3 linked regions of the Macaca fascicularis genome follow. The protein of the gene in region 3 interacts with the protein of the main gene of each other region in a pairwise test. Links are inferred from orthologs where the notes say so. Each region holds a gene or a part of one and is shown on either strand. Other genes may lie near its edges.

Evidence for each region. The genes of interacting proteins can lie anywhere in the genome.
Region 1: the proteins of KIFC3 (region 3) and GMCL1 interact in binary tests that used the Homo sapiens proteins (3 or more experiments, as listed by UniProt). The two-hybrid records come from large-scale screens. The link is inferred for Macaca fascicularis from reciprocal best matches to the Homo sapiens genes KIFC3 and GMCL1.
Region 2: the proteins of KIFC3 (region 3) and MFAP1 interact in binary tests that used the Homo sapiens proteins (3 or more experiments, as listed by UniProt). The two-hybrid records come from large-scale screens. The link is inferred for Macaca fascicularis from reciprocal best matches to the Homo sapiens genes KIFC3 and MFAP1.

Annotation. Positions count from the first base shown.
Region 1 is NC_088387.1:52,099,675-52,103,192, forward strand, and holds part of GMCL1 (germ cell-less protein-like 1), read right to left. Parts: intron 2,656-3,518; exon of another isoform or gene 2,625-2,655; coding exon of another isoform or gene 2,592-2,624; coding exon 2,479-2,591; intron 1,598-2,478; coding exon 1,532-1,597; intron 1-1,531. UniProt on the Homo sapiens protein: Possible function in spermatogenesis. Enhances the degradation of MDM2 and increases the amount of p53 probably by modulating the nucleocytoplasmic transport.
Region 2 is NC_088381.1:20,401,580-20,405,097, reverse strand, and holds part of MFAP1 (microfibrillar-associated protein 1), read left to right. Parts: intron 1-1,615; coding exon 1,616-1,835; intron 1,836-3,518. UniProt on the Homo sapiens protein: Involved in pre-mRNA splicing as a component of the spliceosome.
Region 3 is NC_088394.1:53,868,193-53,871,710, reverse strand, and holds part of KIFC3 (kinesin-like protein KIFC3), read left to right. Parts: intron 1-330; coding exon 331-512; intron 513-1,722; coding exon 1,723-1,827; intron 1,828-3,468; exon of another isoform or gene 3,469-3,518. UniProt on the Homo sapiens protein: Minus-end microtubule-dependent motor protein. Involved in apically targeted transport. Required for zonula adherens maintenance.

The DNA.
Region 1 (3,518 bases), on a different chromosome or scaffold from region 3:
AGTTCCCTGACAGCAAGAGACCATGACAAAATCATCTCTGCATCCTTCACAGCCACAAACAGAGTATCTTTACATAATGAACAGTTAGGAAGTACTTGCTGCAGGAATAAATGGATAATATGCGTACTTAATCCAAAAAGCCAAACTAAGCTGGGTGCAGTGGTATGTGCCTATAATCCCTGCTACTTGGAGGCTGAGGTGGGAGGACTGCTTGAGCCCAGGAGTTTGAGTCTAGCCTGGGCAACATAGCAAGGCCCCCATCTCTTTAATAAAGAAAGACTGCTATATAGCTTGGGTGGTGGGCAGTCCTCATTGTCACCGCCATATATCTTGTAGGTTTTTAGAACCCTGGAATCCATTTCTCATGGGTGACTGCGGTCCTATTATTCCAGCTTGGACTACATGGTCCACAGGTGACAGAGAAATCTTGGCCCTCTGGCTCCATCTCCAGGACCTCTGGCTCTGTGCTGTGCTGTGTGCGACCGGGTCCCGCTTGAAGATGAAGGCAGTGCAGTTGACTGTGGGAGCCTCTGCAGCCCCAGCCTGAAGCCTGCATGGGACCCTGTGTGGTGCTAACAGTTTTTTTTAAAGGAAGACTGCTATTTTCTCAAAGAGAGGGGACGTCACTATCTTGCCCAGGATGATCTCGAACTCCTAGATTCAAGCAATCCTCCCAACTTGGCCTCCCAAAGTGCTGGGATTACAGGTCTAGGTTTTCCTAAATCTGCTTTTCTGGTAGAGAAACCCTGAGGACTGATTGGCTTTTGATTGTCTAAAACCATGGCCTGCGAATTCGTAACATTCAGGGACATGGCCATAGACTTCTCTCATCAGGAGTGGGAATACCTTGACCTGGTTCAGAAGACCTTGTACCAGGAGGTGACAGTGAAGAACTATGGTAACTTGGTCTCAATGGGGTCTCACTCACACTGAGGCTGGAGTGCAGTGTCGCAATCACAGCTCACTGCAACCTTGACCTCCATGGCTCAAGCAATCCTCCTGCCTCAGCCTCCAGAGTAGCTGGGATTACAGATTTGAATTCAAGGAGTGAAATAATCAGAGACGGAAAAATGTACATTTATAGGAGCCACACATTTGTTACGCCACATCAGAGAATTCATTCTAGTGAGAAAACCGATCAACATGAAAAGTTTTTGAAGGTTAAAAAAAAAAAAAAAGGCCAAAACAGTTTCTTCAAACTTATTTCTCAATAATAAAGATGATTTTTAAAATATACCTTTTAAATTCTCTAAAAGTCTGGCAAAACCTGAAACTTTTCTATAGTCTTATAACAGTAATGCATTTTTCTATTAAAATTGGTTAAAACGGTAGACATAATATCCATTATATTATTCACAACAAAGAAATAAGTTTGTGTAGCATTTCTTCAGCTTATGGATGTAGTCAAGCCCTTTCATTAAATTGTTTGCTTTTTCATATTTTTGTGTTCTACAAAAATGTTACGTACTTTAACAAATGATAAACAATATTTTAGGATGACTAATTATAAAGTTACTTGAAATTCAAATACCTGAGTTCTTTAAAAAGTTCAACATTCTGGTGAGTCATCAAATTGTTTAGAAGCCATTCAAGGCACCTGAAATTAAAACATATAATTATTATATTATATACCATGTATTTACAATTTATTAAGTAGGACTTATAGTTAAAATCAGAATATTAATCTTGCCAGAACATGCTCAAAACTTTTAACTTAACAATAGGAAATTTAGTATTATTTTTGTCAGTGGATATTATTAAGAGAATATTTCCTTTATATTAATGAGAGCATTTCTAGTTTTAAAACTTCATTTTGAGTTTGTGTTAAATAGTTTATCAAGGGGTCTGCATAGTACTATAACCTTTAAAATCTCAAAACAGGTACTGCAACTTTCAAGAGTTAGAAGGACTGTCAGTCATTGCAATGATATAATGTCTATCAGGCCTACTTCTTAAACAATTTTAATAGAAAATATACTATAAAGTGCAGTGGCATGATCACAGCTCACTGCAGTCTTGAACCTCCTGGGCTCAAAGAATCCTCTGACCTCAGCCTCCAGAATGGCTGGGACCACAGGTGCATGCCACCATGCCTGGCTAATTTTTTAAATTTTTTGTAGAGATGGGGTCTCCCTATGTTGCTCAGGCTGGTCATGATCTCCTGGGCTTAAGTGATCCTTCTGCCTTGGCCTCCCAAATCACTGGGATTACAGGTGTTAGCTACTACACCTGACCAAGAGTGACCAAGGTTTTTATAAGCATATATATAACCCATATGGTCACTGACAAAGGCAATACTTTTGAGGAATTTACTAATTAGTCCAAAAGTTAAAATGGGCTTTTTATTTAACAAAATTCCATTCCCCTATCCTAATTTTCCTTAATTCTTTCCTTCTTATAGCTATACATTCTCTTAAGAAACTAAAGCAACCAAATTCCTAAAGTGGGATAGGAAGAAAAATGAGAAAGGTAACTCACTTTTTCTTTACAGAATCTAATCCATAGGTCCCTGCTGATGTGTAATAGCCACATACAGTTTTCACATTAATTGTTTCCTTCATTGTCTCACCACACTGCTGTATTAAACCGTCCTGTAAATATAAATAAGCACTGGAAAGGCCCATTTCACGTGGGAAAAATTAGCTCTGATATGTGCTTTTACATATTAAAAAGGAAAAAAAAAAGAAGAAAGAAAAGAAAGAAAACTCATTAAGTGCAGCAAACCTAAGTTTTGTGTTTTTTTTTAAACAAGTCCAATAAAAATACTGAAAAAAATTCAGCAAGTATTCAACTAAATACTTGGAATTTGAAAATGGAAGGTGGGGGGAGCAGTCAGGTAGAGATGAATACTGCTATTCTTTTTCTTTTCTATTCTTCCCTCTCTGAGACCTTTGCAAATTTCTTTAGCAGCATTTTGTCTGTTTTGCCATTTCTTTTTAAATTAAGAAGTCTACATAGTCAGTTAACCATGTCATGGGCCTAAACAAATAGTATGCATTAGCAGAAAGTAATTATTAAGTTTAAAATAACTACAATATCTAAGAGACACACCTAAAACAAGTATATTGTTATTTTAAATTATGAACATTAAAGTTTTAACCTAAAATGTTTATATAGGTTTTAAGCGAACTAACTTTAATATATGGAAAGAATACTATTTTCGTTCAAATTTCTGAAATATATTCATCATGCAGGTATATTAAGTTAAAGAGTTAGTAAATCATAAAAGTAACGCCGAAAGTGAATTTAGAACAAAATCAAAAGGACCAGAGTTAGAAAATAAAGTATACTTATTGGAAATAAGTATTGAAAGGATCAAAACATTTTGAAAATCAAATGATCTCAACCAAGGATATTTAGCAAGCTATTAACTAATATTTCAAATGAATCAGTACAAAAATACCACACAAAAGTTAAACAATTTTTTAAGATTAAAATAAAACATTGACTCCATTAGGATTTTCAACTTACCTGGAAATCATTCTAGACTCCTCCCCTTTCCTCTTAACACTTAGTCT
Region 2 (3,518 bases), on a different chromosome or scaffold from region 3:
AGCCTAATTTTTGTATTTTTAGTAGAGACGGGGTTTCGCCATGTTGGCCTGGCTGGTCTCGAACTCGTAGCCTCAACTGATCTGCCCATCTTGGCTTTCCAAAGTGCTGGGATTACAAGCATGAGCCACTGTGCCCAGCTATATATATTTTTGTGTTTGACACAGGTTCTCACTGTATCACTCAGGCTGAAGTGAGTGCCTTGCTGTGGTCACGGCTCGCCACAGCCTTAACCTCCTGGACTCTAGTGATTCTCCCACCTCAGCCTCCCATGTAGCTTGGGACCACAGGCATACACCACCATGCCCAGCTAATTTTTTTATTTTTAGTAAAGACAAGGTCTAACTTTGTTGCCCAGGCTGGTCTCGAACTCCTGGGTTTAAGCAGTCCTCCTGCCTCAACCTTCCAAAATGCTGGGATTACAGGCATGAGCCACCGCACCTGGCCCCCTCATTAATTTTCTAAGGTTAAACTATTCTTGTAGTCTTGAGCTAAATTCTAATAAGTTGTGTTGGCTTAGGGGTTTTTTGTTTCGGGTTTTTTTTTTTTTGGTAGTTTTTATATCGCTGGGATAAATTTGCTCTTATGTTATTTAATATTTTTGTATTTGTGTTTGTAAGTGAAATCCACCTAAAGTTTTCCTTTGAACTGTCCAATTTGGTTATCAAGGTTATACTCATAAAATAAGTTGGTTAGTTTTCACTGTCTCTCTTTGTTCACTAGAATTGTTTATATTTGTAGGCTGGGTGCTATGACTCACGCCTGTAATCCCAGCACTTTGGGAGGCCGAGGTGGGCGGATCTTGAGGTCAGGAGATGGAAACCATCCTGGCTAACACGATGAAACTCCATCTCTACTAAAAATACAAATAATTAGCTGGGCATGGTGTAGCGCATGCCTTTAGTCCGAGCTACTCAGGAGGCTGAGGCAGGAGAATTACTTGAACCCAGGAGGCGGAGGTTGCAGTGAGCCGAGATCATACCACTGCACTCCAGCCTAGGCGACAGAGTGAGACTCCGTCTCAAAAAAAAAAAAAAAAAAAGAATTGTATTTATAACAGATTACCTACTCTTGCAGGTTTGATAACACATAAGGTAAAGGAAAAGAAGGTAGAAATAAGTAAGATTAGAATATTGAGTCATGTGGTAATATGTTATAAAGGCTGCCGTGGAAATCCCAGAGGGAACTACAAGAATGCCTGAGCAGCATTTTAGTTTTATGTTCCTGCAGAAATCATCCTTACTATGTGGTGGGCACTGTTACAAATAATTTGTTTAAGGGTATAGTTGAGGTGGGATGCCATGAATTTGTGATGGATGCAGTCTGCCTTTTTGCGGGGGACTTTTTTCTACTGTTTCACTGCCTGCCTTCCTCCACTTCATTGTACTCAAGGTAAGCCTCATTATCATCAGTGTTGGCTTTCACAAGGAGGCAGTCTCGTGACTTGGCCTTTGTAGGAAAACACTATTAGATGAATAGATGGTTGGGTAGTGGCTCTTTCTTCTCCTGCTTAGACTCTTGTCTACTATGAATAAAGGGCTCTATTTGCAAAGGCCATAATGGGATGAAGCACATTGAGAAACAGGCTACTGAAACATAGTTATTTTTCTCACCCAGGTGAGATTTCAATGGAAAAAGTGAAGGTAAAGCGTTATGTGTCCGGAAAGAGGCCAGACTATGCCCCTATGGAGTCCTCAGATGAGGAAGATGAAGAATTTCAGTTCATTAAGAAAGCCAAAGAACAAGAAGCAGAGCCTGAGGAACAGGAGGAGGATTCATCTAGTGACCCCCGGCTACGGCGTTTACAGAACCGTATTAGTGAAGATGTGGAAGAGAGGTAATGTCTGTGATTGTGTTTTACTTGAACATGAACCTCTACAGCTTAATAATAATAGCTAATACTTGAATAGTACTGCCAAGTAGCTGACATTTGCTAATTGTTGTAATCCATACAATAGCTTTATGAAATAGGTGCTATTATCCCCATTTCACAAAAGAGGAAACTAAGAGCACAAAGGGGCTAAGAAAGTTACATGACCAAAGTTACAAAGTGGCAGCTTCAGAAAACAGCAGGTTACTTCTGGCCTAAAGGACCTACTCAACTCCTTACGGGAATAGAAAACACAGACCATTCGTTGGCTGTTGAGGGGAGTCTTTTTAGCACAAAGATGTTTTATAAACTTTGGTAAATTGATTTTATACATCTGCTTATTCTAAATGCTAATAAGGGGAAATGACACTGAAGCAGGAGAAAAGACCTCATAAAGGTCTCATTGTAGAAAGTCTCCCAGTGAGGGATTTTGTATGTTATATACTGATTGAGACATTACCTTAATAGAGCAGACCAGGGGTCCTGAACTTTCACCGTTCATAATTGTCCCAGGGGTTTTTTCACAGAGCTCCTGGGCCAAAACAGTTCTGTTTATTTTAGTTAGTAAGTAGTTAGAGCCAAGTAACTTAATAAGTATTTATGTCCTAATAACTTTGCCACTTGAAAATTACAGTGCCCATGGCCGGGCGCAGTGGCTCACACCTGTAATCGTAGCACTTTGGGAGGCCGAGGCAGGTGGATCACGAGGTCAGGAGTTCAAGACCAGCCTGGCCAACTTGGTGAAACCCCATCTCAACTAAAAATACAAAAAAATTAGCCAGGCATGGCAGTGGGCACCTGTAATCCCAGCTACTTTGGGAGACTGAGGCAGAGAATTGCTTGAACTTGGCAGGCGGAGGTTGCAGTGAGCCGAGATCATGCCACTGCACTCCAGCCTGAGTGACAGAGTGAGACTCCGTCTCAAAAAAGAAAAAAGAAAAAATAAATAAAATTACAGTGCCCATGGGGAAAAAAACACTTTTATTCATTCTCACATAACCACAGTTACTAGTGGAATTTGTGTGCCTATTGGACACTGACAGCCTTGCAGACCTTGGAATCAGCACTGTCACTTTTTCATGTCTTGTTTTATATTGATATTCACACTGTACTTTTTACCACAGCAGCCACCAAAACCCAATTTCACGAAGATACGATATTCTCAAAAGGAATGTAATATGACTTAATGTTGAAACTGAATTACCTTGAGCTATTGAAAATATCCCAATGCAGGCCACGCTCGGTGGCTCACGCCTGTAATCCCAGCACTTTGGGAGGCCAAGGCAGGCGATCACCTGAGGTCAGGAGTTCAAGACTAGCCTGGCCAACATGACGAAACCCCCTCTCTAGTAAAAATACAAAAATTAGCCGGGTGTGGTGGTGCACGCCTGTAATCCCAGCTACTCAAGAGGCTGAGGCAGGGAGAATCGCTTGAACCTGGGAGGGGGAGGTTGTGGTGAGCCGAGATCACGCCATTGCTCTCCAGCCTGGGTAACAGAGTGAGATTCTGTCTCAAAAAAAAATCCCAATGCATCCCTATGAGTTTGCTGGCTTGCTGTGGTGCCTTAGGATGCCTCAACATACGTTTAGTATTTCAGGCCAAACTTGGCTATTTGCTCTGACATCCTAGTCTAGTTCCTTTAATCTGCA
Region 3 (3,518 bases):
GAAGTCCAGGGAGGAAAAGAGAGTATCCGTTCTGGCGTCTCATCCTGACTGGGTGCAGTGCCTGAGCCCCACAGCTGATCTTTCCTCCCCATCCCCAAGGCAGAGCTCCACCCCAGTCAGCTGGTCTGTTCAAGAAGAAATGTACTAAGTGAATGCATACTATAGTGTGAATGATGGATAACAGCTTTGTGGGCCCCCTTCCCCTAGGGGGCTGTGCTTAAAAGTCAGGGGACTCCTAGGCCAACTGGTCTGCCTGGGACACCAGTGGACCAGAGTGGAGACTGGTCTTGACATGGCCTGGGCCCATTTCCCCATCCGCAACCAACCCAGGGAACATCCGAGTGATTGCTCGTGTCCGGCCAGTCACCAAAGAGGATGGGGAAGGACCTGAGGCCACCAATGCTGTGACTTTCGATGCCGACGATGACTCCATCATCCACCTGCTGCACAAGGGAAAGCCTGTGTCCTTCGAGCTGGACAAGGTGTTCTCCCCACAGGCCTCGCAGCAGGACGTGAGTGTGGCCCCATGCGGGAAAGGGAAAGCAATGGAGAGAGGGAAAGACGGACTCACAGGGAGGGAGAGGGGCTGGGCAGGAAGAAGCATAAGAGTGGGGGGTACAGGAATCAGAAGTGGGGAGCCAGGGTCCCGCACCTTCCTCTGGAGGACAGAAGAGGGTGGGAAGTTAAGACTGAAGGCCTTAGAAGCCTCCTTTGGAAGGAGAGATCCAGAAACAGCCCATCCCCTCCCATGGCTGTGGTTCCTTCCATCCCCAAGGCCCCTTCTACCATGTGGCCCCGCCCACCCTTAAGGCCCATCCCACTATCATAACCCATTCCATTCTCTCAGCTATGGCTCCTCCCACCATGTGGCCCCTCCTATATCCAGTCCCTTCCACCACATGGCCCCACCCACAGCCTCTCCCACCGCCATGGCTTTGGGTCCTCCCATCCACGTGGCTCCTTCTACTGCATGGCCCTGCCCACTCTCAAGGCCCCTCCTTCCATCACAGCCCATCCCACCCTCATGCTGTGGCCCCTCCATCTGCATGGCCCCACCCACACTCAGGCCCCTCCCACCATGTGGCCTCACCCACCTTCAGGCCCCTCCCACTATCACAGCCCCTCCCACCCTCATGGCTGTGACTGCCCACCCACATGGCCCCATCTGTCTTCATGACCCTGCCCATCTTCTCCATCTGGGAGTACCCTCCTGTATCAGTCCCCTGGGCCTTCCTAGGAATCCCCCGACCCCCAGAGGCTGTATGAGAACCATGTGTTCTCAGTGTCCACTCTTCCCTTGTCTCTGCCCAGACCAACCTGCTAGCCCTACCAAGGCCTGTGCCCTCCTGTTCTCATGTCTGGTTCTGTCTTTGCCCCCATCCGCTGATGGCTGGCAGGCAGGCCCAGGCCAGAGAGTCCCCAGGCATGTGCTGGCCTCTGCCTTCCTTGTGCTGAGCGCTCTTTGAGAGAGAGCAGGAGGAGCTGGGGGAAGGGCAGCAGGCACCAGCCTGTCTTCCCTGCAGTCTTTGGGCGGCCCAGTTGCCCACTGATGTCTAACATATGACTCACGAATCACGAATCATTGTGAGCTGAGTGACTGCAGTAACACGTGCTGTGGTGTTGCTGAAGGACAGCATGGTTGGGGAGGTGGCTGGACTTGTAGCTGGTGGTCCCAGTGGCCCTGGAAGCCCCCCACCAGCCTCCCTGCCACCATCTTCCCAGGTGTTCCAGGAGGTGCAGGCCCTGATCACCTCTTGCATCGATGGCTTCAATGTCTGCATCTTTGCGTACGGCCAGACGGGTGCCGGCAAGACATACACGATGGAGGTGGGTGCTGCCCCACGGGGTGGGGGTTCACAGTGAGGTATGAAGGGAATGCGGGCTCCTTCATTGGTCTTGGGGTTTTGTGCAGTGTGTGTTTTGCCTCATTTGGTCCTCACAACTCAGGAGCAGAGGCTGTAGTTATCTGTGTTAGCCCCAAGGCACCAGGCCTTAAGAGGGGGCCCCCTTGCCCAACGGTACCCACAATGGGCCCAGCAGGACTGGGGAAGAGGCAAGGGGGGTCTGTCATCACAGGGATCTTGGCCTGGGGACAGAGTCCAGGGCAGGCCACCCACCTCTCTCAGGACCGGGGCTGCATTTCACCTTGACTGTGCACTGCACGCCCCTGCTTTATGGCTGCCTTGGCCGGGCCTGGGGGATCTGGGATGAGTGGTTGGTCTCAGTCCTCAAGGAGATCCCAGGGCAAGACTGGCATGCGAAGGCTGTGGTGGGGAGCCCAGCTCTTGCTGGTGGCCCCTGGGGCCAGGCCAAGGCTTCCTCTCCCTGCCTGTCACCGGCGCCCTCCCAGGTGTGGTGGAGCAGGTGGCTGGCCAGGGAGGGGGGCATTGAGATGAGGAAGGATCTTGACTGTGGGCAGAGGGCAGTGGAAAGCTAGCCCTGACTCTTGAGGGGGTGCTGTGGGATTCCCTAGGTCAGAAGGAGGCCAGGTGGTACGGCATCTGGGCAGGGGAAAGGGCTGGCCAGGCCTGCTGGGCAGGGAGCCTGTCATGGCGGCCCTCTATTTCCCATCTGGACTCTGCTGTTCCCTCAATTCTGGAACTAGTGAGACTAGTTAGTGGGGGGCAGGCCAGGCCAGGTGGGAGGAGGAAGGGGGTGTGTGCAGCATCCCCTGGGCTCCCTGTTCTGCTTTGGGATTGCTTAGAGTTGAGTTGACCACCAGAAACATCAGCGTTCGTCCTCAAGCGTATCTGCTGATGCCTGAGGCATATCGGGCATTGTGCCAGGTACAGCTTTGACCCAAACAGTCCCTGCCTCCACAGGGGGCCCTCCCCACAGGGCCAACCTGGCTGTGGGGAGGCAACACAGTCCACATAAATCAGCAAGTGTCCTGTCAGGCCAGGGAGAAAAATAAAGCCAGGGATGTGGAACTGACTAGGGGGAGGGACAGGGCGTTTGGGGGTGCTGGGCGAAGGAGCAGCCTCCCTGAGGGAGATGACAGAGCCGACCACGGGGAGGTCAGAGGAGCACCCAGGGCAGAGGGAGCTGCAGGGCCAAGGCCAAGAGGCCAGAGCATGCCAGGGGCACCTGAGGCCTGACCAGGAGGCCCCTGTGGCAGGAATAAAGAGAGGGTGAGAGATACTGTCAGAAGAAGGGCGAGGGCCAGGCTCCCAGGGCCTCGAGGGCCCAGGTAGGGACTCCAGGTTTCCTTCTAGAAAGGCCGGCCCACCCCTCCTGCCCCAGGACACTGGTCCACTCCTCCCTGTGCCTCCTCTCCACCACCCACAGAGCCCAGGCCTCAGCCTCCCTGAGATTGAGCCCCTTTCTGGGCAGTGGTGGGGTCATTCATTTCCAGCACCCCTCCCAGGTGGCCCCACAGGGCCAGGCATGCATCTGGCCGTCAGCTGGCCTATGTGGGGTCTGGGCCAGGCCCCTCACCCCAGTGCTGGACAATGAGTCTCAGGGTAGTCCTGGCAGGGCGATACCATTTTAATGGTGGGGAAATAGAGGTGCAGTTG